Linked DNA regions of Callithrix jacchus. The protein of the gene in region 3 interacts with the protein of the main gene of each other region in a biochemical or structural test. Links are inferred from orthologs where the notes say so. Each region holds a gene or a part of one and is shown on either strand. Other genes may lie near its edges. The genes, in order: MAPT, LRRK2, STUB1, ATXN3, PSMD4, UBE2W and NQO1.

What was found.
Region 1: of the proteins of STUB1 (region 3) and MAPT, one has a biochemical effect on the other in vitro, tested with the Homo sapiens proteins (11 studies listed by BioGRID, with this or other methods). The link is inferred for Callithrix jacchus from reciprocal best matches to the Homo sapiens genes STUB1 and MAPT.
Region 2: the proteins of STUB1 (region 3) and LRRK2 form a complex in vitro, tested with the Homo sapiens proteins (3 studies listed by BioGRID and IntAct, with this or other methods). The link is inferred for Callithrix jacchus from reciprocal best matches to the Homo sapiens genes STUB1 and LRRK2.
Region 4: of the proteins of STUB1 (region 3) and ATXN3, one has a biochemical effect on the other in vitro, tested with the Homo sapiens proteins (6 studies listed by BioGRID, with this or other methods). The link is inferred for Callithrix jacchus from reciprocal best matches to the Homo sapiens genes STUB1 and ATXN3.
Region 5: of the proteins of STUB1 (region 3) and PSMD4, one has a biochemical effect on the other in vitro, tested with the Homo sapiens proteins (5 studies listed by BioGRID, with this or other methods). The link is inferred for Callithrix jacchus from reciprocal best matches to the Homo sapiens genes STUB1 and PSMD4.
Region 6: the proteins of STUB1 (region 3) and UBE2W form a complex in vitro, tested with the Homo sapiens proteins (7 studies listed by BioGRID, with this or other methods). The link is inferred for Callithrix jacchus from reciprocal best matches to the Homo sapiens genes STUB1 and UBE2W.
Region 7: of the proteins of STUB1 (region 3) and NQO1, one has a biochemical effect on the other in vitro, tested with the Homo sapiens proteins (2 studies listed by BioGRID). The link is inferred for Callithrix jacchus from reciprocal best matches to the Homo sapiens genes STUB1 and NQO1.

What each region holds. Positions count from the first base shown.
Region 1 is NC_133506.1:86,763,000-86,766,499, forward strand, and holds part of MAPT (microtubule-associated protein tau), read left to right. Parts: intron 1-1,211; coding exon 1,212-1,427; 3' UTR 1,428-3,500. UniProt on the Homo sapiens protein: Promotes microtubule assembly and stability, and might be involved in the establishment and maintenance of neuronal polarity.
Region 2 is NC_133510.1:35,407,594-35,411,093, forward strand, and holds part of LRRK2 (leucine-rich repeat serine/threonine-protein kinase 2), read right to left. Parts: intron 2,731-3,500; coding exon 2,549-2,730; intron 397-2,548; coding exon 167-396; intron 1-166. UniProt on the Homo sapiens protein: Serine/threonine-protein kinase which phosphorylates a broad range of proteins involved in multiple processes such as neuronal plasticity, innate immunity, autophagy, and vesicle trafficking.
Region 3 is NC_133513.1:2,940,267-2,944,386, reverse strand, and holds STUB1 (E3 ubiquitin-protein ligase CHIP), read right to left. Parts: upstream 2,801-4,120; 5' UTR 2,679-2,800; coding exon 2,520-2,678; exon of another isoform or gene 2,375-2,519; intron 2,081-2,374; coding exon 1,882-2,080; intron 1,797-1,881; coding exon 1,631-1,796; intron 1,564-1,630; exon of another isoform or gene 1,436-1,563; coding exon 1,348-1,435; exon of another isoform or gene 1,184-1,347; coding exon 1,127-1,183; exon of another isoform or gene 1,053-1,126; coding exon 936-1,052; exon of another isoform or gene 876-935; coding exon of another isoform or gene 854-875; coding exon 728-853; 3' UTR 477-727; downstream 1-476. Other genes in the region: JMJD8 (jmjC domain-containing protein 8), read left to right, coding at 1-56, 134-268, 346-426. UniProt on the Homo sapiens protein: E3 ubiquitin-protein ligase which targets misfolded chaperone substrates towards proteasomal degradation.
Region 4 is NC_133509.1:126,952,602-126,956,739, forward strand, and holds the start of ATXN3 (ataxin-3), read right to left. Parts: upstream 2,801-4,138; 5' UTR 2,731-2,800; coding exon 2,707-2,730; intron 1,415-2,706; exon of another isoform or gene 1,276-1,414; intron 1-1,275. UniProt on the Homo sapiens protein: Deubiquitinating enzyme involved in protein homeostasis maintenance, transcription, cytoskeleton regulation, myogenesis and degradation of misfolded chaperone substrates.
Region 5 is NC_133519.1:11,149,406-11,153,607, reverse strand, and holds the start of PSMD4 (26S proteasome non-ATPase regulatory subunit 4), read right to left. Parts: upstream 2,801-4,202; 5' UTR 2,775-2,800; coding exon 2,749-2,774; intron 2,499-2,748; exon of another isoform or gene 2,442-2,498; intron 1,844-2,441; exon of another isoform or gene 1,733-1,843; intron 1-1,732. UniProt on the Homo sapiens protein: Component of the 26S proteasome, a multiprotein complex involved in the ATP-dependent degradation of ubiquitinated proteins.
Region 6 is NC_133517.1:29,573,169-29,577,259, forward strand, and holds the start of UBE2W (ubiquitin-conjugating enzyme E2 W), read right to left. Parts: upstream 2,801-4,091; 5' UTR 2,799-2,800; coding exon 2,697-2,798; intron 1-2,696. UniProt on the Homo sapiens protein: Accepts ubiquitin from the E1 complex and catalyzes its covalent attachment to other proteins.
Region 7 is NC_133521.1:27,293,949-27,298,074, reverse strand, and holds the start of NQO1 (NAD(P)H dehydrogenase [quinone] 1), read left to right. Parts: upstream 1-1,326; 5' UTR 1,327-1,443; coding exon 1,444-1,450; intron 1,451-4,126. UniProt on the Homo sapiens protein: Flavin-containing quinone reductase that catalyzes two-electron reduction of quinones to hydroquinones using either NADH or NADPH as electron donors.

The DNA.
Region 1 (3,500 bases), on a different chromosome or scaffold from region 3:
CCTGGCTATGTCATGTCTCTCTACTTTCAAAAGGGCTTCAGCCAGACACAGTGGCATGAACCTGTAGTCCCAGCTGCTCAGGAGGTTAAGGTGGGAAGATTGCTTGAGCCCAGGAATTTGAGGCCAGTCTGGGCAATATAGTGAGATCCCCATCTCCAAGTAGATAGGTAGATGACAGATAGATAATAGATGGATAGATAAGTCACTAGACAATCCCCATCCTAAATCATACACCCACCCACCCACAAACAGGCCTTTGTCACGTCATGTTTTGTGGCCCGCCTGCCAGCACTGCCCACAGTTGCTGCCACCTCCAAACTCATCAGTCACTGGCAAACAGGAGGAATTTGTGTGGCTTATGTCTGGGCATCAGTGGCTCTGGGAGACATCCTTGATCTTCTCCAGCTTCTCTTTCCACATTTTCCTTTGCAATCTGGCAATATGTCTCAAAATGTGCATGCCTTTTGACCTAACAGCTCTACTTCTAGGACCCACTTACACGTGTGTGACATGTTCATACAGGGTTGTTTATCCCTGTTGTTCATACACACCATTGCCTGTAATCACCAAAGGCAGGAGCAGCCTAAACCTCCAGCCACAGAGTAGATGCCTTTTGGTACATCCACGGGGAGGGAATACTAAGCAGCCTTTGTATGTATGTACTCACACATGTGTTTATAGATGAAATATCTCTGGAGGATCCATAAGGAACTGAAAATGACCACTGTCTCTGGGGAGGGTATCTGGGTGCCTGGGAGGCAGATCAGGGGAGGAGTGGACACAGGTATTACCATTTGGAAGACACTAAAAACAGCTCCTGGCCAGGTGTGGTGGCTCACACCTGTAATGCCAGCACTCTGGGAGGCCGAGTCAAGTGGATTACTTGAGTCCAACAGTTTGAGACCAGCCTAGGCAACATAGTAAAACACCATCTCTATTAAATATACAAAAAATTAGCCAGGTGTGGTGGTGCATGCCTGTAATCCTAGCTACTCGGGAGGCTGAGGTGGGAGAATGACCTGAGCCCAGGAGGTTGAGGCTGCAGTGAGGTGAGATTGTGCCACTATACTCCAGCCTGGGCGACAGAGCAAGACCCTGTCTCAAAAACAAAACCAGTCCTTGGCACTGTGGGCCAGACCTGGCGGGACAGTTGGCAGGGCTTGTCTCCCTTTCTCTGGCACTTTATCTCACCCTCCCTCTTCTCCTTGAAGATTGAAACCCACAAGCTGACCTTCCGTGAGAACGCCAAAGCCAAGACAGACCACGGGGCGGAAATCGTGTACAAGTCTCCGGTGGTGTCTGGGGACACATCTCCACGGCACCTCAGCAACGTCTCCTCCACCGGCAGCATTGACATGGTAGACTCGCCCCAGCTTGCCACGTTAGCCGACGAGGTGTCCGCCTCCCTGGCCAAGCAGGGTTTGTGATCAGGCCTCCGGGGCAGTCAGTAATCGTGGAGAGGAGAGAGAGTGAGAGTGTGTGGAAAAAAAAAGAATAATGACCCGGCCCCCACCCTCTGCCCCCAGCTGCTCCTCGCAGTTCGGTTAATCACTTAACATGCTTTTGTTGCTCGGCTTTGGCTCGGGACTTCAAAATCAGTGATGGGAATAAGAGCAAATTTCATCTTTCCAAATTGATGGGTGGGCTAATATTTTTTAAAAACACTCAAAAACATGGCCACACCCAACATTTCCTAGGGCAATTCCTTTTGATTTTTTCCCTCCCTCTGTGTAGAAGAGGGAGGAGAGGCTCTGAAAGCTGCTTCTGGGGGATTTCAAGGGACTGGGGGTGTCCACCACCTCTGGCCCAATCCAGGGGGTGTCACAGAGGCAGCGGCAGCAACAAAAGATTTGAAACTTGGTGTGTTTGTGGAGCCACAGGCAGATGATGTCAGCCTTGTGTGAGTGTGACGGGGGTGGAGTGGGAGGCCAAGGCAGGGGCTGGGCAGAGGGGAGAGGAAGCCACATGCTGGAGAGGAGATGCTGCCCCACTCCATGCCGATGGGAGGGCCAAGGCCTCCGCTGCCTGCAGCATCTCAGACCAAGTGGTGCCTGTCCTTTGTGGCTGGGGCCTGCTACGGGTCGGTGTGCCACCCTCTGCTGGGCAGCCTGTGGGAGAAGGGACAGCGGGCAAGAGGAGAAGGCAGGCCGGCGGGAGGGTGGTGCCCCATGGATGATTTCCTTGGAGAAGACTGATCTTGACATCTGAGGGCGCTGGCCTCTTCCTCCCTCTCTGCAGGGTGGGGGGCCTGAGCTGAGGGACTTCTCTCTGCTCCACAAAACCCTGTTTTATTGAGTTCTGAAGGTTGGAACTGCAGCCACGATTTTGGCCACCTCACAGACCTGGGACTTTAGGGCTAACCAGTTCTCTTTGTAAGGACTTGTGCCTATTGGGAGACATCCACCTGTTTCCAAGCCTGGGCCACCGGCATCTCTGGAGTGTACAGGGGTCTGGGAAGTGGGTCCTGAGCCTCCTGTCCTTCCCATGGCCACTGCCATCACCCGTCTGCCCCGCCGTGCCACTGTTTGCCATGAGAGCCCATTCACTGCCTGTATCCCACATCACGTCACCATGTCACCACCTACTTATCAGTAATGACCCTGCGGGAGGTTGGCTTCGGGAGGTACCTACTCCATACTGAGGGCAAAATTAAGGGAAGGCAAAATCCAGGCACAAGAGTGGGACCCCAGCCTCTCACTCTCAGTGTCAGTCATCTAACTGGTGTGCCCCTCACCACGAATCTCATGACCTGATTCTGTTCCCTGCCTCGTCCTCCCTTCACAGATGTGAGCCAGGGCACTGCTCAGCTGTGACCCTAGATGTTTCTACCTTGCTGATGTGGAGAGAGCCCTTTGCCCCCAGAAGGCCTGGCCCCTTCCGGTGCTGAGCTGGCAGCAGGAGGCTGGGTGTCCTGGTTGTCAGTCATGGCACTAGGACAGGTGGGCAAGGCACCCAGGGCAGGCCCACAGTCCCGCTGTCTCCCACTTCTACCCCAGCTTGTGGCTGCCAGCCTCCCAGACAGCCCAGCCGCTGCTCAGCTCCACATGCATAGAATCAGCCCTCCACACCCCCGAAAGGGGAACACGCCCCCTCGGAAATGGTTTTCCCCCCAGTCCCAGCTGGAAGCCATGCTGTCTGTTCTGCTGGAGCAGCTAAACATATACATAGATATTGCCCTGCCCTCCCCATCTGTACCCTGTTGCGTTGTAGTTGGATTTGTCTGTTAATGCTTGGATTCACCAGAGTGACTATGATAGTGAAAAAAAAAAAAAAAAGGACGCATGTATCTTGAAATGCTTGTAAAGAGGTTTCTAAGCCACCCTCACAAGGTGTCTCTCACCCCCATGCTGGGACTCAGTTCCAGGCCAGTGTGGCTCCAACCTGCTGGGGCCTCCCAAGTTTTATAAGGCTTTCATCAGCACCTGGGACCCAACAGAGACCAGATTCTAGCATCGAAGGAGGCCCTTCAGCTGTGAGGGCCTGAAGCACAGGATTAGGAC
Region 2 (3,500 bases), on a different chromosome or scaffold from region 3:
TTCTTCTCCATTCTGGAGGCTGGAGTAAAATGAGGAGAAGTGAAGGGCTTTGGAATAATTCCATACAGTCTACCAGTTCTCTGGATATTAGAACAGAAAGCTCAGTTTTTTTAAACCCTGTTTATAACAAGTGGTAAAAGTGAATTTTAAAATTCTATAGAAATACCTGCAAAATCCCACACATTTAGAACGAGGTCTCTCTTTCTTTTGCCTCTTATTTGGATAGGCCAGTCTTTCACATCTATGCCAACTGTGGCACTCTGCATTCCAAGATCTGATTTCTTGATTTTCATTAACTGTTGCAATAAGGTGGTTTTACCACTCCCAGTATTTCCCACAATCATTAGTTTCATTCGGTTATAGGGTACAGCCTTTTTTAACCGCTGTTGAAGAAACCTAGTATTTGAAAGATAAAAATAAAATAATAAACCGCTTAAAAGTACATGAGATTTAAGTGAGTTGTTTTGCATGTAACACTATTCTAAGATATAGTTTCTAAAAGAGCGCATAGCTCATATAACTAATAATGAGTTATATAACTCATTAGTTATATATATATATAACTAATAACAATACGCCTTTCAGTGTATTGTTAATGCATATATTTTGCTAGAGATTTTAGTGTAGTTGATAGTGTTTGGTAGAATTACCAATATAACATGTTACACTACCACCAGAAATAATCAAAAGGCCAAAATGTGTTTCCAATACTAATCAGCATACAATACGCAATATGTATACATCTATATATACACACATATACATACATATGTGTATACATATTTGAATTTCTTTTAATAGTATTAAAAACCTTATAAAGTATAAAATTTCACAAAGTCCATATGACATAAAAACAAGATAAAAATATGTATACTGTAATAATAAACCTTGATAAGGTCATATTAGTTCTACATGTGTCTATATGGTCATATGTAGAATATAGGATGTATAGATAGATATATTTCACAAATGCATATAATAGTATATACAGATAGTGAGATCATATTACATCATACATAAATACATATAAACTATTATACTATCAGAAGATGTTAACATGGTTTCATTCCTAATGATCTTAACATAAAAACTGAACTAAATAGAAGTGTTTAGGTAGCTAAAAAATGACCTTTAAACTAACAGTAGATTTAAAGTGTTATCAAAAATATAATAAAAATAGAAAGACATATTTTGAAATATGTTAAAGTGTTGCCGCCATTTAAAATTAGAGAAAACCTAAATAAAAAATGAATTTTACATCGGAGTAGTGACCGATCTCTGACCAACATTTCTGATGATATAACTGAAAAGCAACATTACTTTTCTTCATTTTTTATTTCTTAAGATGGCAGCACTATTTGAAATATGTCATTCTTCAAAAAGCAAATGATGCCTACAATTTCTAATCCGCTCTAGGGTCTTTCTGTCTTTCCTGAAAACCTTAAACATGTTTAAAATATTTAACATATTTAGTTATGTAGCTTTAAAATACAGCATAATACACTGAAAGCTAGTTCTGCTAAACGTTTAGTAAGAATTGAACCAATTTTTATATGGCCAACTTTTCCACTTTCAAGAGGGAAAAATAATTGTGTAAAATGAAGGGTAGTCACTTTTAGCACAAAAGTTAAACTCTTTCCTTTACAATGAAATGAAGCTCAAGAATTCAGAAAACCAAATCCTTCCTCATAAAAAGATATAAAGTTAAATATAAATTTAAGAGACTTTAGGCGGAAGAGAATGAGTAAGCATAAAACACAGGTAATTAAACAACTATTAATTCTATGCCAGGCACTGTGTTTGGTGCCAAGATTTGAATAGTGAGTGAACACAGCCATGGTCTCTGCCTTGGTGCACATTACAGTCTAGCTGGGAGGTGACGACAGAGCTGAGGTCTGCAATGTTAATACAGTAACTGTGGGAAAGGGAGCAAAGGATTTTATGAGAAAATAATAAGAACAATGTGCTGAAAGGGAACAAAAAGTGGGATAAAATCCATTATTAAAGATATTTAAAGTGTTTCAAGTGTAAAGACCAGAAACAGCGATACTTGAGAAGTTTTGGTAGTTTCAGAGCTGATCAAGGTGAGTAGATTACTCATCCTAATGAGCAAAATAGAAGTTAGTGATTTCACATGATGTCAGTAACTATAATGCTTTAAGATGTAAGAGGCATATGTTTACTAGTTGCTATATGAAATACAGTGTGATAAGTTATTATACCGTGCCATATTTCTTTAGATTGTGTAATTGGTAACAAGAGACCGAATAACAATACATATTTTCTTTCAGAGTCTACTCCACTAAAAAGAAAGAGAAGGCAAAAAAGTCACTCTCAATGTTACCTGGCTAAGAAGAATGAAAAATCTCTACAGTGGCACCATAGAAACACATTCACTAAATGAAAGGCAAATGACACATAGCACATTAATGTCCAATATTACTATTGATTTTTTTCCCTAAAGCATAACAATATATGTCCATCGAAGTCACAGAGTGGAAATCTGAAATAAATTTGATAAAAACAAATAGAAATTAAATAATCAAACCTTATGATGTCTTTGGCTTTACATCCTATGTGTTTAAAATCAAAGTTAAGACGTAGTTCATCCAAAGGAAGGTCCCATATTTTGCTTAATTTCCCCATTTCATTGGGAAAGGATCTTAGTTCCAAGTTGTAACTGACATCCAGAGATGTCAGATTTTCAAGACAGCCAATCTCAGGAGGAATCTTAATGGAATAAAAAAGGGCAAAACCTGTTGGTGGGAAGTAAGAAATGTGTTCTGCCAAAAAATAGATGATAAGCAACAAGAAAGGCTCACAGATTCCATCAGCAGCTTGCACGAACTTTCAACAGAGTTCTAAAACTTTCCAAAGGCTTGTCAGAAGTTGTCAGTATGTGTTTAAAAACATAAAAACTTATATCTAAAACCTTACTCCCAAACAATCTAAGTCACTTATCTGTAATCTTTAAAAACCCAATCTCCTTTGGTAACATACTTCATCTCTTCAAGACATTGAAAGTAAGGAATTTCTCACCACAAAATGGATTTGGTTATCCAAATCCATTATCTGTGGCTTCATTCTGCTCCTTCAGTAAAGGCAGGAAAGCCTAGTCATCACAAACTTGCACGCAACTTAGTGTTCTCAAAGTACAGCGACATGCTTATAATTTAGGCGGCATCCTAATTGGAGTGCTTTCTTCTCTGTTCAGATCTTTAAGCAATATATATTATAATAGAAAACAGAGCCAGGCGCGGTGGCTCACGCCTGTAATCCCAGCACTTTGGGAGGCCGAGGCTAGTGGATCACGAGGTCAAGAGATCCAGACCAGCCTGGTCAACATGGTGAAACCCCGCCTCTACTAAAAATACAAAAAATTAGCTGGGCATGGTGGTGCGTGCCTGTAATCCCAGCTACTCAGGAGGCTGAGGCAGGAGAATTGCCTGAACCCAGGAGGCGGAGGTTGTGGTGAGCCAAGATCGTGCCATTGCACTCCA
Region 3 (4,120 bases):
GGGTGCCCTTCCACTGGCACGGGCCTGGGTACTCGGAGGTGATCTACGGCCGTAAGGTCAGCCCAGGGTGGGTGTCGGGGCTTGGGTGGATGACCCAAGTGGGCAAGGGTGACGCTGCTGCCCCTGCCCACAGCGCTGGTTCCTCTACCCACCTGAGAAGACGCCAGAGTTCCACCCCAACAAGACCACGCTGGCCTGGCTCCGGGACACATACCCAGCCCTGCCGCCGTCTGCACGGCCCCTGGAGTGTACCATCCAGGCTGGTGAGGTCAGTGGCTGGCAGGAGGGACCGGGCCAGGTCAGAGGCCCGCAGCTGATCTCGGCTGCACCCCCTTCCTTCACCAGGTGCTGTACTTCCCCGACCGCTGGTGGCACGCCACACTCAACCTTGACACCAGCGTCTTCATCTCTACCTTCCTTGGCTAGCCGTGGCAGCCGGCAGGCACTCCTGTCACACAGAGCACTTCTTCCCCAGCTTGTGCTCACGGATTTTATTACACAGACGGTGGCCGCAGCCCAGCCCACCCTCACCTGCTTTTCCAGCCCAGAATGGGGGACGGGGAGGATCACAGCCCAGCAAGAGCTATGCTGAGAGGGGAGCCGTCCAGAGCCCAACAGCAGAACTGGGGGGAAGGGAAAGGGTGGCCAGGGACACAAGCTATGTACAGGGGCTGGGGGCTTCTGCCCGTGGCCCTCCGGGGCCAGGACACTGGGCAGGGCGAGGAGCTCAGTAGTCCTCCACCCAGCCGTTCTCAGAGATGAATGCATCAATGACCTCCTTCATAGCCAGGTTGGGAATGAGCTGTTCCTGCGTCAGGGGGCTCCGGGTCACAGGGTCAAAATGGCCTACACGCTGCAGTGACAAGAGGCAGAGGCTGCTCAGCAAGCCTAGGACCCTGCTGCTGGCCCTGCCCACCCCCTGGCCCCAGCCTCACCTGCAGGTGCTCCTCGATGTCCTTGCGGTCGTAAGTGATGCCACTGGGTGTGATGCACGGCTCCCGCATCAGCTCAAAGCTGATCTTGCCACACAGGTAGTCAGGGATGTCGCGCTTCTGTGGCACATGGGCACAGGGTCAGAGGCTGGGAAGGGGCTGCTCCAGGACCTACCACCCACAGCAGCACTCACCTTCCTCTTCTCATCCACCTGAGAGAAGAGCTCATCCATGTCCGCCATGTATCTGTCCTGTGGAAAGTTGAGCAGTGCTTGGGAGGGACACCCCACTTCCCTCCTCCGTGGTACCCAGACCCAACACGAGGCAGGGACACACAGACCCACAGCAGGGTGGGGACGCTCCCGTGCCACGTGTGCACACACACAGACCCACATGTGGATGGGGGCACCCTCACGTGCTTGGCCTCAATGCAGGCCTGCTGGGCCCGGACGTGACTGTCGTCCTCGTCACCCTCGTGGTTCTGCTGGCACTCTTTCAGCTCCCTGGGGGATGACCAGGAGCCCGTCAGAGACGGACCTGGCCAGAAGATGTCTGACCACACCCCAGACTCAGGGCTAACATCCAGGCTTCTTCCCCACATGCACTGCTCGCCAGTAAAACTTTCAGTAAACATTCGTGTTGGCGGTTGGTTATTCAGAATTATCCCCAGACAGCGCGGCCTGGGGTAAGGGTCCCACCTCTCACGCTCCGCCGCAATGAGCCTCGAAAGGTAGGAGTGCAGCTCACTCTCCTGGTGGATGCGCCGCTCCTCGATGCTGTTCCAGCGCTTCTTCTTCGCGATTCGCAGAGCGCTGGGGATGTCGTCCCCAAAGTTCAGTCGCTGCTCCTTGGCCAGGCTGTAGGCTGGGGAACAAGGGCTTCCGGTCACGCTGGCCAGTCCAACCGCCTGGTCCCAGGGGCCCCGCACCCAGGCAGCTTGTCGGCCAACCTCGCTGCAAATTGGCGATGGCCTCATCATAGCTCTCCATCTCCAGCTGGCACTGCCCCAAGAAGAAGTGCGCCTTCACAGACTGCCCGTCCAGCTCCAGGGCGCGCCGGCAGTCGGCCAGGGCCTGCTCATGCTGCTGCATCTTCAGGTAGCACAGGGCCCGGTTGGTATAATACACGGCCACCAGCGGGTTCCGGGTCTAGGGACCAAGGCCGGGCCAGCCGCATCAGGCGTAGGCTCAGCGCGCCCCCTCTGTCCCAGGGCCCGTCCCAGCTTCTGCGATCTGGCTACGATCAAGAACCTAGACCTCTCAGTAGCCAAAGCCTCTGGGTCCAAGGATCTGCAGACACGGGACTACTGGCTGAGCCTACACACCTCACTCCGGTTGGTTCTGTAGAGTTTTCCAAATCTTTGGAGAGTCCCAGCTTTGGACCCTGGCCTCCCACCCACCCGGCCGGCCTCCATCTAGCATCCCACCCTCGTTCCCCGGCACCTGGCGCTGGGATCGAGAACCAATGCTGGGCTTTCGGAGCCCAGGATACCCGCCGCGGAGGAGCCAGACCCTCGGCGGGGCCGGCCGATCGCGGGCGTGGCCCTCCGACTCGCCGTCGCCGCCTTCCCCACGCGGGCGCACTCACGATCGCGCGGCCGTAGCAGGCCGCCGCCTCCGGGTACTTTCGGCCCACAAACAGACGGTTGCCCTGTTCCTTGAGCTCCTGCGCGCTCGGGCTCTTCTCCGGGCTTCCGCCGCCAGCGCCCAGCCGCGCGCCGCCCTCCTTCTCCTCCTTGCCCTTCATGGCGCCGAGCGGCACGGCCTGGGCTGCGCTCCCAAGCTCCGCGCCTGACGGCCCTGCACCCGAAGCCCGAGCCCGAGCCCTGCAGCCCGAGCCCACGATCAGCTCGGGCCCGGCCCAGCTCCGCCGCCGGAACTTCCGGCCGGGGGCGGGATCGGCGGGGACGCAGGCGTCGGGGGGCGGGTAGGGCCGCGCGTGCGCCCAACCAGCCTGGGCGGGGACAGTCGGCCCGCGACGTAGCTGGCTGCGAGGAACGCTCCGGTTCCCTGGCCCCGCGTTTTTCAGGGTCGGCATTCGCGGAGGCCAGCCCCGCCCCGCCCCGCCGAGGCCTCTCCAGAACTGGCCTCGGTGGCGGCCGTCCCATATATCCGGTTTTCTCCGTGAGGTGCCTCAGCCTTGGTTCGCTGAGGGCGTGCTTCCCTAAAAGCCTGTCCCGCCCACGTGGGATTCCGCCCCTGCCCCAACCCGTAAAGACCCCATCTGCAGAGGTCCCGCCCCCAGCAGCCCGCCCCGCCCCCAACAACAGGCCGCATCTGCGGCGGTCCCGCCCCCGGCACCCGCCCCCACTCCCAGCACCTGGCCCATCGGCAGAGGCCCCGCCCCCGCAGCCACCCCCATCGGCGGAGGCCCCGCCCCCAGCACCCGGCCACGCCCCCATCAGTCAGCCCCGTCTGCAGAGGTTCCGCCCCTGGCAGCCGGCCCCGCCCTCGGGGGGGGGTCGACTCCGTTTGCAGAGGTCCCGCCCCCAGCAGCCGGCCCCTTCCGCAGAGGCTCCGCCCCTGAGAGCCGACCCCTCCCCTCCACGTAACATGGCGGCCTCCCACGCGCTCTGGGGCTGTGGGGACCCCAGCGGCTTGCTGGGCTGCCATCCTGGAATGCCACCGAAAGGTGCTACGAGCGCGCGCGGGCCCCCGAGAGCGGCTGGAAGCCGTGGACCGTTGGTAGACTGGTAAGAGATAAAGGGATCCGTGGGGCGAGTGTCCCCGTGGCCGGACCTCCCCTCACCCCCTTTTCCAGGTAACGGGAGGAGTTGCTGGCGGCCATCAAGGGCCGAGCGGAGAAGCACGTGACGCGAAGGGAGCTGGAACGGCTGTTAGTCTAGAGGCTGCCGGTGGGGTGCGGCCCCGCCTCCTCGTGTGCGGGGCCTCCGTAGGGCGGGTCTTCAGGGAGTGGCGTCGGTGGGGCGGTGCTTCCTCGTGGGCGGGGCCTCCTAGGGGCGTGTCTTCGTGGGGGCGGGGCTTTGTCGTGGGGCGGGGTTCCTGGAGGGTCCACCACTCCAGGCATCCTGACCTGGCCTCCCACAGAGAGGCCGCTTTTGGCCATGTCTTCAGCAGCCTGTGGCCACCAATCCCCTGAGCTGGTTGTGCACCGCTTGACCTCCGCCTTCTGACTCCTGCCAGAGTCGGGGGCCGCAGTCATAAAGTTGTGTGCCCTCCGCGGTGTGG
Region 4 (4,138 bases), on a different chromosome or scaffold from region 3:
CTTTGGGAGGCTGAGGCAGGCAGATCACTTGTGGTCAGGAGTTCAAGACTACTCTTGGCAAACATGGTGAAACCCCGTCTCTACTGAAAATACAAAAAATTAGCCAGTCATGGTGGTGGGCGCCTGTAATCCCAGCTACTCAGGAGGCTGAGACAGGAGAATCGCTTAAACCAGGGAGGCGGAGGTTGCAGTGAGCTGAGACTGTGTCATTGCACTCCAGCCTCGGCAACAAGAGCAAAACTCTGTCTCAACAACAACAACAACAAAATACAAAAATTAGCTGGTCATGATGGTGGGCGCCTATAATCCCAGCTACTCAGGAGGCTAAGGCAGGAGAATCACTTGAACCCGGGAGGTGGAGAGTGCAGTGAGCCAAGATCACGCCACTGCACTCCAGCCTGGGCAGGAGAGAGAGACTCCATCTCAAAAAACAAAAACATCAACCTAAATTGTTGAATCTTCATTTGCTATGTACATACAACTTGATGATAACATTAAATGTATTCCTGAAGTATCTGTAGGCCTACACACATGCTAAGAATTAAGAGGGACTTCTTTCAGGTAAGTAGATTTTCACTAGGCTAGCACCCAACTTTTTTTCATACCATGGTTCAGTAGAAATGTGTCCCAACTAGGTAACAATCAATATCGTTGAAAACCTTGTCTAAATCTCAGGAAGTAGTGTGGAACATATTTAAGGCCTTCCATGTTGAGATGTGGTCCCACATCAAAGCCTTTGAAAGTTAGTAACAAAAATACGGCTGGGTGCGGTAGCTCATGCCTGTAATCCGAGCACTTTGGGAGGCCAAGGCAGGTGGATCACCTGAGGTCAGGGGTTCAAGACCTGGGCAACATGGACCCTGTCTCTACTAAAAATACAAAAATTAGCTGGATGTGGTGGTGGGCACCTGTAATCTCAACTACTCTGGAGGCTGACGCAGGAGAATCCCTTGAACCAGGGAGGAAGAGGTTGCAGTGAGCCATGATCGTGCCACTGCATTCCAGCCTGGGTGACAAGAGCAAAACTTGGTCTCAAAAAAAAAAAAAAAAAATTTTTTTTTTAAGTACATGTGTATTTTCCACCCACTCTTTAATTACTGAGCCAAGTAATTAAATCTCTATTGTCTATGATTTGTAAGTCATGTCAATCAAACCAAAAGATTAATAACAACTATACGACTGAGTCTTTCCTCCCCCACTCTAAATCAGTCTATTTTAAAAGTTTCCTAGATGTTTTCTACAATTTAAAATATTGTACTTAACAATTTGTTCCAGGCACAGTGGCTGGCTAATGCCTGTAATCACAGCACTTCGAGAGGCTGAGGTGGGAGAATCACGAGTCCAGGAGTTTGAGACAAGCATGGGCGACACAGCGAGACCCTCATCTCCACACACACACACACAAATTAGCTGGCCATGGCGATATGCACCAGAAGTCCCAGTGAGGCTGAGGCAGGAGGATCGCTTGAGCCTAGGAGGTCAAGGCTGCAGCGAGCCAGGATCTCTCCACTGCACACCTGCCTGGGTGACAGAATGAAATCCCATCGCTAAAATAAAAAATTTTTAAATAGATTCATATTACAGATTTACATCTGGTAAATTTATTGCCTTTGCTTTATTTGTTGTGTGTGTGTGAATTTTAAATGTCTGGGATAATTAATCGTGATAATTACTGATCATTTACAAGTATTTAATTAAACAAAAACCCTTTGCTCCTCCTATTAAATAACAGCCTCGCCAGCAACTCCAAACACGAAACTATTATGAAACAAGACATCATATGCCAAAGTTGTCCTGGGGAAGGCTTCACTCACACACAAATGGCTGGATTAATAGCATGTGAGTAAAGACAAGTTTCTCCACTTATCACAAACAGTATCTTCAAGTGCATGGTCACTGAAGAGTTAAAGTGACAGCGGGCTAGGCAGACCACAACAAAATCATTCCAATCCACTCCTAATACCCAAACACAAAGCTGGCCGCCTGCTCCGGAAAGATGGGAGTACCCAAAGAAACCAAACCCAAACATCCCGTAATAAAAACTTGTGACGACTTCCCTGTTAAGGGACAAGCCGGGTTTCCTACTTCACTTCCTAAGTGTCAGGCCCCAGTGTGGGGGAGCCAAGGTCCCTTCCTTCGGGAGGCTTGCGGACCCAGTGCAGGGGAAAGACATGAACAAGACTCCAAAGATCTACGTGTAGGGAAGACTCTACACTGCAATATAGAATTGAGCAGTCCAGAGATGAAAAAGTTAATTCTGCCAGGAATGGGGTAGGAGGGGTCGAGGGAGATGTCCCAGAGGTCACTCTAGCTAGACCCTAGGGAGAGAGAAGGCTTGCGGAGGTCAAAGAATCCTTCGAAAAGCGATTGAAAGTGACGGAAAAAGGCAGAAGCGAACCCACTAGGCGCCACCCCACTCCCTTGTCCCGAGACGCCCCGGCCCCGCCCATACACCCTCCCGGCTTCCCGGGCGGGGGCCTAGGAAGCAGCGGGGGAAGTGGGGGATTCTGTGATGCTCCCCTTCCAGAGCCGAGGAGGCAGGAGGCTGCGGGGTCGCCCCTCGCCCGGCGAGATCCGGATGGGGGCGACTCGGGCCCCACCCAGCCCCCTGGGAGGTTGTGATGCCGCGCTCCACGCCCGCCACCGCGCGGCAGACAGCTCCCCACCGCACGGACATACAGCTCCCCACCGAACGCGGACACTCACTTTCTCGTGGAAGATGGACTCCATGTTTATTTGTCTGGAGCCAACGGCCCCCGCGCGGAACCACCCCCTCCAGCTCCGCCCCCTGCCCCTCTCCTCCGCCTATCCCGCCCCTCCCTGGTCCGCCCCAGTCTCCCCGCCCACGTGCAGTACGTAGACCAATCACCCGTGAGGATGTGAGTCACGTGGAGCAAAGAGCGAGTGAACGCCAGCGACACGTGACCTTGGTAGCCCGTCCTCCTATATTCTGTTAGCGGGCCTTCTGGGAGATGCTACAGCGCCACCTGCTGTTTGGAGGATCTGTTCCGCTTCCCACCCATTTCTATGGATTCTTAGGTTTCTGGCCGGAGGTCTGGACCACTCACCTGGGTTCTATGTTCTTTTTGTTTTCCACTTTATTTGAACTTTCTACTGTGTTCAAATAACTATTTATTATCTTTCTCCTCCTCCTCCAATTAAAGGTTGTTAAGCAAAGGTGTCATTACATTCTCCCAAAACCTAGCACTTGTATAAAAATGATAGCTAGGCCAGGGGTAGTGGCTCACACCTGTAATCCCAGCACTTTGGGAGGCCGAGGCAGGCGAATCACCTGAGGTTGGGAGTTCGAGACTAGCCTGACCAACGTGAAGCAACCCCCATCTCTACTAAAAATACAAAATTAGCTAGGCATGGTGGCACATGCCTGAATTCCCAGCTACTCCGTTGGCTGAGGCAGGAGAATCGCTTGTACCCAGGAGATGAAGGTTGGGGTGAGCTGAGATCGTGCCATTGCACTCCAGCCTGGGCAATAAGAGTGAAACTCCATCACACACACAAAAAAGAAAACAAAAAAGTTAGCTAATATTCATATAGGGCTTTCCATGAGCTAGGCACTTTTCTAATTGCTTTACACATATTATCAAATTTAATACAGCAAACTTTGATGTCGGTGTTGATGTTATTCATACACATGAGGAAACCAAGGCACAGAGAGATTAAGAAGAGTACAATGTCCAAGATAGTAAGTTACCTTGCTAGGATTCAAATTCAAGTGGCTTGTTACCAGCATAGGTGTTCTGGCCCTTTAGAGGGAAATTAGAGGTGCAGTGAATTGTGTGGGAAACGGGGAGGTAGCAGCAGTTTGATGAACCTTAAATGGAAGGATAGGCACACATCTTGCACCTGGAAACCAGATTAAGATGCACTTTTTTTTTTTTTTCTGAGACGGAGTTTCTCTCTCTGTCCATCTCACCAAAAAAAAAAAAAAAAAAAAAATGGCTGGGCACGGTGGCTGTCGCCTGTAATCCTGGCACTTTGGGAAGCTGAGGTGAGATCACCTGAGGTCAGAAGTTCAAGACCAGCCTGGCCAACATGGTGAAACCCCGTCTCTACTAAAAATGCAAAAATTAGTCAGGCGTGGTGGCGCACGCCTGTAACCCCGGCTACTCAAGAGGCT
Region 5 (4,202 bases), on a different chromosome or scaffold from region 3:
GAGTCAGAAAAGCCAAAGCAATTCTAAGCAAAAAGAGCAAAGCTAGAGGCATCACGTTACCCAACTTCAAGCTATTACTACAGGGCTGAAATAACCAAAACAGCATGGGACTGGTACAAAAACAGGCACATAGACCAATGAAGCGGAATAGAGAGCCTAGAAATAAGGCTGCACACCTACAATCATCAGTTCTTAGTTTTGTTTTGTTTGTTTTTTTAAGACAGAGTCTCACTTTGTCGCCCAGGCTGGAGTGCAGTGGCGCAACCTCAGCTCACTGCAACCTCTGCCTACCAGGTTCAAGCAATTCTCCTGCCTCAGCCTCCTGAGTAGCTGGGACTACAGGCACATGCCACTGCGCCTGGCTCATTTTTTGTATTTTTAGTAGAGATGGGGTTTCACCACATTGGCCAGGATGGTCTCGATCTCCTGACCTCGTGATCCACCCACCTCGGCCTTCCAAAGTTCCGGGATTACAGGTTTGAGCCACTGTGCCTGGCCTACGTTTTGTCTGCTCTTTGACAAAGCTGACAAAAACAAGCAGTGAGGAAAAGATTCCCTATTCAATAATTGGTGCTGGGATAACTGGCTAGCCATATGCAGAAGACTGAAGCTGGATTCCTTTCTTACTCCATACACAAAAATTAACTGAAGATGAATTAAAGACTTACTATAAAACCAAAAACTATAAAAATCTTGGAAGACAGGCCAAGCATGGTGGCTCATACCTGTTATCCCAGAACTTTGGGAGGCCCAGGCAGGTGGATCACCTGAGATCAGGAGTTCGAGACTAGCGTGACCAACGTGGAGAAACCCTGTCTCTACTAAAAATACAAAATTAGCCAGGTGTGGTGGCGTATGCCTGTAATATCAGCTACTAGGAAGTGAGGCAGGAGAAAAGCTTGAACCAGGGAAGTGGAGATTGCGGTGAGCAGAGCTTGCACCATTGAACTCCAGCTGGGCAACAAGAGCAAAACTGTCTCAAAAAAAAAAAAAAAAAAAATCCTGAAAGACAACCTAGGCACTACCATCCTAGATTTAGGAATAGGCAAAGATTTTGTGACAAAGGAACCAAAAGCAATTGCATCAAAAGCAAAACTGACAAGTGGAATCTAATTAAATTTGGTAGAGATGGAGTTTCACCATGTTGGTCAGGCTGGTCAGGAGCTCCTGACCTCAGGTGATCCACTCACTTCAGCCTCCCAAAGTGCTGGAATTACAGGCGTGAGCCGCTGCACCCGGCCAGACACTTCTCAAGAGAAGACATACATATAGCCAACGAGCAAATAAAAAAAACCTCAATATCAATGATCATTAGAGAAATGCCAATCAAGGCCAGGCACAGTGGCTCATGACCGTAATCCCAGCACTTTGGGAGGGCAAGGCGGGCAGATCACGAAGTCAAGAGATCAGGACCATCCTGGCCAACACTGTGAAACCCCATCTCTACTAAAAATACAAAAATTATCTGGGCATGGCGGTGCATGCCTGTAGTCCCAGCTACTGGGGAGGCTGAGGCAGGAGAATCACTTGAACCTGGGAGGTGGAGGTTGCAGTAAGCTGAGATCATGCCATCTGCACTCCAGCCTGGTGACAGAGCCACACTCGTTCTCAAAAAGGGAAATGCCAATCAAAACCACAATGAGATACCACCTCACACCAGTCAGAATGGCTATTACTAAAAAGTCAAAAAATAACACATGCTGGCAAGATTGTGAGAAAAGAGAATACTCACACACTGTTGGTGCAAGTTAATTAGTTCAAACATTGAGAATCGCTTGAACCCGGGAGGCGGAGGCTGTAGTGAGCTGGATCGCGCCACTGCACTCCAGCCCGGGTAACAGAGCTGTCTCAAAAAAAAAAAAATTAATCATTTATCTGAAATTCATATTTCACTGGGTATCCTGTATGTTATCTGCTATGCTCTCCCCAAAAAATAAAAAGAAGAAATCTCATAGGTGTCTGTTCCACCCAATTGGTGATTTGTGTTCATCTACTATTCTGTATTACGCTCTACGATTACACTTAGAATTCTTGACACCCTCCAAAAATTGATGTCCTCAGCATCTAATGTGACTCGTAATAGGTACTCAGCCCAAGCCTGAGACTGACGGAGAGCTACTTGTCGGATAAAAGCCTTTGTGTCACACAGCCCTGGGTTTAAATCTTGACTACACCACTTAACTAGCTGTGTGATTTTGGACAAGCCACTTAAAATCGGTATCCTGAACAGTAAAATGGAGAATTTACCCTAAGGTGTAGCTGTGAGGTCTAAGTGAGATAAAGTAAACAAAATGGTATATAAAAAGCAATCTGTAGATGGTACTTTGAGGATGATAAAGGGAAAGGTAACAGAGTTAGAGACGAGGGAATGGAGAGAGTAAGGGATTAATAATCTATTTTCCTAACAGACATTATTTTGCGAAGGAGGACAGAAGACTTACAATGAGTCCGAGAAGCATTACTTAGGACAGAATCCGGCTGTTCTAAAGAACACGGCGCTGGAATAGAGATAGGCAGAAGGACTGGCCGGTCAACGACCATACCCCTGGGGGTAACAGGGGTAACCCGGGCCTGTCCGCTTCTCCAGGGCCCCGGGATGACTCAGGGAGTCGAGCGGGCTCCTTCCCTCCCGGCCCAGGGCCGCCTCTCGCCCATGAGCCTCCAGCCCCCACCCCAGGCCCGCCCGGCCTCGGCGATACACGCGCCCGGACCCAGCTCTGCCCCTCCAGCCCCGAGATAGTGCCTCACCACACCATAGTGCTTTCCAACACCATCTTGCCACCTTCCTCCCTCCCGACCTGTTCTCCGGGACGTCCTAGCAACAACTCTTCCAATTGGCCCATCGCTCTTCACCAATCACAGACCTCAGCTTGGCCAGCTGCTTCCGCCTGCGTCCCTCGCGTTGCGTTCTGGGAGTTGTAGGCGCCGTCAAAAAAAGGGGCGTTTTGGGAGTAGAGGGAATCGCAGTAACACACAAAAAAGCAGGATCTAGCCTCCGCGTTACCTCCCATTGCTGTTTTCAGTTGGGGCTTCCCGCCGGCTGGATCTTAGGGGAGCTGTGGAGGAATCTGAAAATTCTATGTCTGTTCTAGCTTTGTCATTAAAAAAAAAAAGTGTCGGGATCGGCCGGGCGCGGTGCCTCACACCAGTGATCCCAGCACTTTGGGAGGTGAAGGCAGGCGGATCACCTGAGGTCAGGAGTTCAAGACCAGCCTGGCCAATATGCTGAAACCTCGTCTCTACGAAAAATACAACAATTAGCCGGGCGTGGTGGCGCACGCCCGTAATCCCAGCTACTAAGGAGGCAGAGGCAGGAGAATCGCTTGAGCCCAGGAGGCGGAGGTTGCAGTGAGCCGAGATCACACCACTGCACTCCAGCCTGGGTGACAGAGTGAGACTCCGTCTGAAAAAAAAAAAGAGAGAGAGAGAGAGAGAGGAGGGAAGGTGGGAAGGAAGGAGGAAGGGAGGAAGGGAAGGAGAGAGGGAAGAAAGGAAGGAAGGAAAAAAAATAGGTGGGTGCAGTGGCACACGCCTGCAATTCCACCTACTCGGGAGGCTGAGGCAGGAGAGTCGCTTGAACCCGGGAGGCTGAGTCTGCACTGAGCCAAGATCGCGCCACTGCACTCCAGCCTAGGTTACACGGCAAGACTCATCTCAAAAAAAAAAAAAAAAAAAAAGTGTCGAGATCACCAGTGACGTTCTAGAGCTCTCAGTTTCCTGTAGCATTTTATTCATCTAACTACAAGCCCTATACCCTTCCATTTAATTTATTTGTATATTTGTTTTTTTCTTTTCTTTATTTTTTGAGACCGAGTTTGGCTCTTGTTGCCCAGGCTGGCGTGCAGTGGCGCGATCTTCTGGGCTCACTGCAAACTCTGCCTCCTGAGTTCAAGCAATTCTCCTACCTAAGCCTCCAGAGTAGCTGCGACTACAACACCTGGCTAAAAAACTAATAGCGAGACTTCGTCTCTGGATAATTTTCAGAAGAGCTGAGATTAACATGCTTAAGAGTAAAATATTAACAAAAATAATTTAAAAAGTAAAATATTAAACCAGATGACGATTTTCAACTTTATTATCCTATGATTTTAATTTCCCTTTTAGTTAGTTTTACACTAATAGGCCCTACTTGTATCTGAATATAAATTACAGCACACAGCTAGAGAATAAGCACTAGTCGCCGCTCACCGCTAGAGGGACCC
Region 6 (4,091 bases), on a different chromosome or scaffold from region 3:
AAAAAAAGACACTACCAGAAAATCTACACTAGACATTTTAAAATACAAATAAAAAGGAAAGATTTTTTATTTTAATAAAAACAGGAAGCATCTGTTTTCCATTCCTCTAACCAGAAAACATAGACTAGAGAGTGATAAGATTTAGACAGAATACGTGACGGGAAAAACTTTAAAAAGTGATAAAACAGCCGGGGGACAGTGGCTCACACCTGTAATCCCAGCACTTTGGGAGAGCGAGGCGGGCGATCACGAGGTTAGGAGATGGAGACCATCCTGGCCAACATGGTGAAACCCCATCACTACTAAAAATACAAAAACATTTGCCAGGTATGGTGGCGTGTGCCTGTAGTCCCAGCTACTCAAGAGGCTGAGGCAGGGGAATCGCTTGAACCCGGGCTGCGGAGAACGCCGTTGAGCCGAGATCGTGCCACTGCACTACAGCCTGGGTTAGAGAGGATGAGTCCGTCTTAAAAATAAATAAATAAATAAAGGCCAGGCGCGGTGGCTCACGCCTGTATTCCCAGCACTTTAAGAGGCCAAGGCAGGCGGATCAGGAGGTCAAGAGATAGAGACCATCCTGGCCAACATGGTGAAACCCCGTCTCTACTAAAAAAATACAAAAATTAGCTGGGCGTGGTGGCGTGCTCCTGTAGTCCCAGCTACTCGGGAGGCTGAGGCTTGCTTAAAACCGGGAGGCAGACGTTGCAGTGAGCCGAGACCGTGCCACTGCACTCCACCCTGGCGCCTGGCGACAGAGCAAGACTCTGTCTCAAAAGCAAAAACCAAAGTGATAAGACAGTCTAAGGTAGTAACACTTAGGGCACAGGAAAACGCACTATTGCACTATCAATCAAGTATTTGTTTCCATTGCTTAGGACACTATGTAAAGTTCAAGATTACCAACTTCTCTCATAAACAAATCTGTCTTTACCAGACACTCAATCTAACCAGATAACACACTAAGTTCTCTTGTCAAATATTATCATAAGTATTGTGGATTTTAATGTTAATCTTTAGCCTCAAATTACGTTTTAATCTTAATACCGATAATCTTAAGCTCATAAAAAATGTTTTCATCTTAACACATAAAATCTTTAAGTGGTCCTGTAGCCTATTGCGTCTACTGTTCAACTAGGATTCCACAGTTCCTTTTTCAGCCTCAAATGACGAAACTTCTCTAACGTCTCTGGGGAAACTAGTGTAAAGTATAACGTTTCCTGAAATTGTTCTTGTTTTTTCCCTGCACCATTCGTGACATCTCTTCAACTAGAAATGTTATATAAAACTTTTATGTTCTGCAGGCAAGTCCAGAGGGAGAAGCAAAGGTAAAAAGAATACTGTAAGGAAAACAGGTTGAAAGGGGAATAACATAAAAGCACAGGAGTAAATGTGAAGCAAAGAAATATTTATACAAAAGAGGAAGAAGATGCAAAAAAGGGAAGAAAAACACTTTCAGCAGAGAAAAGAAAAAAAAAAGGAGGGGGAACAGAGACTTGCTTCTTCCAGAAACAAAAGCAAAAAACACTTCTAAGAAAACGTGGTCTCTCTTTACCCAAGGGGATGTTAATAAAATGCTAAAAGGTATTCAGCTGACACTCCTATTTAGAGGTCTACTTTCTCTTCCTATGTCCTTTGATACTGCTCGTCTTCATCAATGAATTAAATGCAGGGTATACATAACACAGTCAATATCTACAAAACTACAATTGTGGTTGCCATCTTTGCCTGCAAAAATAATTAAAACAACTCCCTGGTTTCGGGGAAAAGGGGTAAATTAAGTTGGAAAACCAGAAAACCCCACTTGCTAAGTGGGGTAGAAATGACACAGGTTAACAAACGCCTCCTACCCATTTAGATTCTACTGAAGGTCTGGGTAGTTAAGGGCAACAACAAGTAGCTTTACCTCGACCGCAAGGGTGGGGCATTGTAGGGGAAAACAAAATAGAGGGCGAACTATCCCGAGAGGTTTAAGGGGGCTGAGGACTCGGCTCTCGGGAGACTGTCCATCAGGCGGTGGACTCGGGCAGCTTCGAGAGGAAGGAGACAGTGGACTGCTGGAGGAATGTCAGTGAGAATGCCGGTGCAGATGGAAAGAGAAGGTACCCACGAGCACAGAATTAAGAGTCAAGGGAAGAAGAGAGGCCCGGCGTGGGAGGCCGGAGCAGAGGCCGCTGAGCGCCGTCTGCAGCTAGCCGCCCTCTCCCGAGACGCCTTCTCGGCTCCACCACACTCAGCCCCTCGCCGCCCCTGCCCGGGCTACAACCGCGGGCGCAGCTGTTTCCGTCGGGCCAGGGACAGCGGGAGAAAGGCAACCGTGGGGCTGGCGGGGAGCAGACTGGCAGCGGGTGTGTGTGTGTGTGTGTGTGTGTGTGTGCGCGCGCGCGCGCGGAGCGGATTTTGAGACCGGAACGCCAGACTTCGCCCTTTCTCCCCCAAGCCTCCTTTATCACCCAACTTCCCAGTCGGCTGGTGTCCCCTTCGACCGACGGATACCGCACCACCCCCCACCCCACCACCCGACGCCTCTCGCCGCTTCTCACCCCTCCCCCGACGCCCTGAGCGGAGAGAAAACAGACTACCCTGACCGATCCCGAACCCGCCCGGGTGTCCCCGAATCGCGGACACCGCCCCCGCCCGAACGCTGGCACCCTCTTGGCGGCTCCCTGGCCCGCCCAGATGCAGCAAACTCCTCTCACCTGCATTGACGCCATGATGGAACCATCCCCCCACAGCCGGCGAGGCCAGAGACGCAGGGGGCGGAGCTGCCGTGCTCGCGTCACGCCGCGGGGGCTCAACATCCCCGGCGCGGGGGCGGGATCTGTAAAGGGAAGGGGATAGCGCGAGGGGATTGGCTGGCACGCTAGGCGAACGGGAGGAGGGACCGTGGGGCGGTGCGAGGGGACGGTAAATGGCGCTGTGAGTACCTTCGGTCACAGTTGGACTCGCAGGTCCCGAGTCTGGCTCCTGATTACTCTTTATCGAGGACACACGGCTCCAGTTTTGACTCGGCTACGGTTGTTTTCTTCGTCTGTACCGCGAAATCCTTATGACGTCCGGATCTGCGCAGCTTTTTTCTGTTCGTTTTGTTTTTCCAAGCACAGCTGTGCGGTACAGATTTTTCCCTTGGGATGTGCCTTCCCTACTACCAAGCCCACTCTCAGAGCCTTGGGGCCCCATAAAACTTCCCGCGCAGCTACTTTCTGGTCTTTGGAGACTTGGAAGGTTTCTTGGGGGATTTTTTTTTGAGACGAAGTCTCGCTCTGACGGCTTCTAGTATTCTTAATTTGGAGAAGAGAGACATAGGTTTCCTTGTACAACGGGATGAGGATGTAAGAGCAGAACAACACTGATATTTTAAAGGCGAGGATATTTAGATTTGTGGAGCTGAAACTTGCCTGAAAAGGGAGAGAAAATTTGGAAGTTTCTAAGCTGTGTGCAGTTTCTGCCCCTTACTCCAACTATTGTTGATACATGTGAAGTTTTAAACTTCACATGTATCAACAATAGTTACCGTTGTTGGGGCAGTCTAAATTTGATTAGCGAGTTGACCCCAGGCATTAATTTTTTTTAAATGTTATAATATACACTTATACCATTATGTCCAGACTTCTCTTAAGCCTATTTCGTGGTGGTTTTATGGTCATTTAGGGATTAACTTGGGTAGGGAAAGCTGAGCATACATAATTTATTTTAGGAATGCACCAGTTCTGCCAACATTTATCAGAAGTCACGTTTGAAGAAAGCTATTCTGGAACTGAAGATGTCATTGGTTTATGAGAGGAAAATGGAAGCCAAAAGCCTGCACCTCATGCTCTATCTTTAAAACTTAACGTGGCAGACACAATGAGTAGAAGGCTTTTATGTTACCAGAATGAAGGCTTAAAATCTGTCATTTTATTGACTCGGCTTTCGTTTTAGAAATTTCTTTAAGCTATAAATGCAATGAAGAATATCACTCACACTCTTAAAATAGATTACGTTCTTTGGAACTTCTCTAATCTGAAATGTGCTTAAAAAGAAAAATATATTTAAAATACGTCAGTTAGTTTATGGTATAATATTAAACACACTATCCATCACTAGGGAAGTTA
Region 7 (4,126 bases), on a different chromosome or scaffold from region 3:
CATCTGTCATTCTTCTGATGGTTAATTACCACTTTTTCTAGTCATTTTTCCTTCACCTTTTGACAGTATGTCTCCCCTCTTCACTATAATTGTTACTTTATAGTTTTTTTTGTTTGTTTGTTTGTTTTCTTGAGACAGAGTCTCACTCTGTCGCCCAGGCTGGAGTGCAGTAGTGGCACAATCTCGGTTCACTGCAACCTCTGCCTCCCGGGTTGAAGCAATTCTCTTGCCTCAGCCTCCCAAGTAGCTGGAACTACAGGTGTGCACCACCACACCTGGTTAATTTTTGTATTTTTAGCAGAGACTAGGTTTCACCAGGTTGGCCAGACTGGTCTGAAACTCCTGACCTCAATTGATTCCCCTGCCTTGGCCTCCCAAAGTGTTAGGATTACAGGCGTGGGCCACCACCTCCAGCCCAGATTTAAATTATTTGCTCTGTTCTGTTCTGTCCCTTTGTGTGAGCTTTTGTGTAAAGCCAGTACACTTGGTTCTGTTTTGGCTATTTTTTAAATGCTTCCCTGTAACTGCTACCTCCACACCAGCCTTGCTTTAGTTCATGGGGAAACAAAACCAATTAGTTTCCAATTACCTGCTTTGAGGAGCAGGGGTAGGCTGGCGGCAGGCACCCACAGAAGTACATTGTATGTGCCCCCAAGTGCAGAATCTGAATCTTGAAAAGTAAGAAATGGCCCAGGCGCTGTGGCTCACTCCTGGAATCCCAGCACTTTGGGAGGCCGAGGCGGGTAGATTACCTGAGGTCAGGAGTTCGAGACCAACCCCGTCTCAAAAAAAAAAGGAAAAGAAAAGGAAGAAACAAACGCATTTCTACGGAGCAAGTCTCTTCAGTGCTGTTAGCCTTCCAAATCCAGTCACAGTGACTCAGCTAAATCTGACCCTAGGAAACCACAGTAATCTGCATCCAGCTTTTGCTGCCGGGTTTCTTGCCAAGGCCCGAAGGGTGTGGCCAACCGATCCCTGGACTCCTTGGGAACAACCTCCTCCTTGCATCCCCTTGCCCCTCAGGACACAGTGCGCAGATGGGCCTGCCTAGCCCCTCCAGCCAGATTTTTGAGGTCTCTGTCACACACCCCCACAAAACCCCTCCCCCGACCCCCAGAGACTTTTCGCGACTTCAACCAGTTGCTAGGGTGAGCGGGAGTGGAAGGGCCCCTCCTTCATCCCCCAGGCTCCCTCCCTTCCTGGAACTGTAGCCTCGGCAGCCTCTGCCCAGCGCCCCAGGACCAGGCGTTCGGTACCACCCTGGTTGGCTGTCCAACTCAAATGGGCGGGGCAGCAGATATAAGAGAGAATGCGCTGCGCACTCGGGACTCTTGCATGGTTGGTTGCAGCCCCTGAAACCAACCCGGAAAACCTACTATCTGGCCAGGGTCGCCCCAGCAACCACGAGCCCAGCCAATCAGCGCCCTGGACTGCCCCGGAGCCATGGCCGGTGAGTGCAGCCAAGGAGGAAGTTTTTGCATTTCTGGAGACCTGGTGTGTGCGGAGGTGGTTGTAAGGGCTTAGCTCTGAGTGTTTTTCCTTGACTCAAAATGCACAAAGGAAGAGATTAGGGTCCTGGGATGAGCCTTGATCGGATTCCAGCAGGGGGAGAGCTTCTGTTTGTATGGGAGCCGCAGATACTCCCTCACTCCACCCCACGAACTCTAGTGGACATTTAGGAAGCAGACCTTAGAAGCAGACATTCCCTCCAAAACTGGGGTTAGTTCAGAAACTGACCCTCGGAGGCCAAATCAGGCTTGCGGTCACTGTCTATACCTCTTTTGGTCTATAGTATTTAAAACACTTTGACATAAGTTGCTAACATTAAAATGGGTGATTTCACTTAAAAATGTGGATTCCCGGCTTCTGAAGAAAATGAGATCAGGCGATTGGTGGGCAGGAGTGGAGGAAACTGATGCCTTTAGTTTGACGGAGACCAGAACCAGCTCCAGGCTGCCAGGCTCAGGTTTTATTTTGCTTTGTGTTTTTGAGATGGAGTTTCGCTCTGGTCGCCCAGGCTGGGGTGCAATGGTGCGATCTTGGCTCGCTGCAACCTCACCTACTGGGTTCAAGCGATTCTTTGGCCTCAGCCTCCCGAGTAGCTGGGATTACAGGTGTGCACCACCACACCCAGCTAAGTTTGTATTTTCAGTAGAGATGGGGGTTTCACCATGTTGGTCAGCATGGTCTCGAACTCCCTGACTCAAGTGATCCACCCACCTCGGCCTCCCAAAGTGTTGGGATTACAGGCTCAAGTCTCTGTGCCCAGCCTTGGGAGGTATTTTCCATTAAGCCTCTTGGATCAGGCAAACCTGATTGGCTAGCACTGGATCTGTTTCTGGTATTGGGTTCATTTCAGTGATAGAGCCTCCCCACTTGCCCATCAACCCTAGGGGAACTTAGAGGGTACCCTAACTCTACCTGAGGCATAAATAACCAGCTGAGACAATTGCAGGGACTGAGAGCTGTTTCCCAAACAATTTCACTCTGAGATTGGACAGTGCTAAGATTTAGAAAGCTGTTGCCTCAGCTGGGGCAGAATTCTGCCTTTCTGTAATTTCCTTCCCTGTGAACCTGGTCCTGCCTCTAAAAATGCACCTGTACCAGGGAGGCAGAGGTTGAAGGGAGCGGAGATCGTGCCACTGCACTCCAGCCCGGCCACAGCAGGACTCCATCTCAAGAAAATAAAAAGCAACTGCACAGACAAGAAACCCATCTTGGTCAAAGTGAGTGGGGGAAGAGATCACGCTTGCAGTTGACAAACTAAACTTGTCAGGATCTCTAAGAAAGGGAGGAACCTGTGGATTAGAAGCCCAGCATAAGTTGCTGGGGGAAGACAGCAGGGCATAGGTTCTGAGAGCTGAGAGGCTTCCTGCATACGCGGTGGCTGCTGCTTCCCTTGTATTTCATTCTTCAGCTGCTCTGAGGCACCGGCACCCTCTCCTCCAAATACTAGGGCAGGAGCTAACTCCTGACTTTTCAATCTTCCAGAGTGTTCTGTGTTTCTGTGTAGTTTAAGCACAAAAAAGCGGGTGGTAACGAGGGAAAAGGGGAGACTTGGACCTTGTATAATTAGTTTTAGCTGTACACAGCTAACCAAACCTTGAGGTTAACTGAAACATCCAGGCTTTTTGTTTGCAACTAGTAGACGCATCTGGCTTGCACTTATATTCCCTGGAGGATTCAAGTGAGCCGAGAAGGCAGAAGGAGAATGCAGGAAACTGCTGCTAAGTCTTGCCCTTATCATACTTCTCTCTTTCCTTTTGAGACAGGGTCTTGCTCTGTCGCCCAGGCTGGAGTGCAGTGGCATGATCTGGGCTCACTACAGTTTTGACTTCCTGGGCTGAAGTGATTGTCCCATCTTTGCCTCCTGAGTAGCTGGGACTATATGTGTGTGCCACCACACCCGGCTAATTTTTTTGGTCAGAGCAGAACAACTTGAAACCCAGCTAATTAAACAACATTTTTTTTTTTCTGCTGGGCATGGTGGCTCATGCCTATAATCCCAGCATTTTGGAGGCTGAAACAGGAGGACTGCTTGAGGCCAAGAGTTCAATACCAAGATTCAGCTCAAATGGCAAGCTCCTCTCAGAACCCTTCCATTAGGGCTTGAGCCAGCCCTCAAGTCCTGAGGTTTCCTTCAGAGATGGAGTCTCACTCTGCTGCCCAGGCTGGAGTGCAGTGGCATGATATAGGCTCACTGCAATCTGTGCCTCCCAGGTTCAAGCCATTCTCATGCCTCAGGCTCCCCAGCAGCTAGGATTATAGGTGCACGCCACCATGCCCAGCTCATTTTTGTATTTTTAGTAGAGACGGGTTTTTACCATGTTGGCCAGGCTGCTCTCAAACTCCTGACCTCAAGTGATCCCCCCTCTCGGCCTCCGACAGTGCTGTGATTCCAGGTGTGAGCCACCGCGCCCGGCCCTCTGTTGAACTTTGCCCCTTACCCCTCCTAGCACACTAATGCCACTGTACCCTGAGGAGGTTATCTGTGCATGCATCTGGGGCCTCTCAGGATAATGCTCTAACTCTTCCCAGGTCATGTTGTTCAGCTAGGTGTGTGGCCGGAAGGGTAAATGAACCTTCCAGGCCCAGAAAACTTCCTTTCTGTCAATTGCCTGTTCAC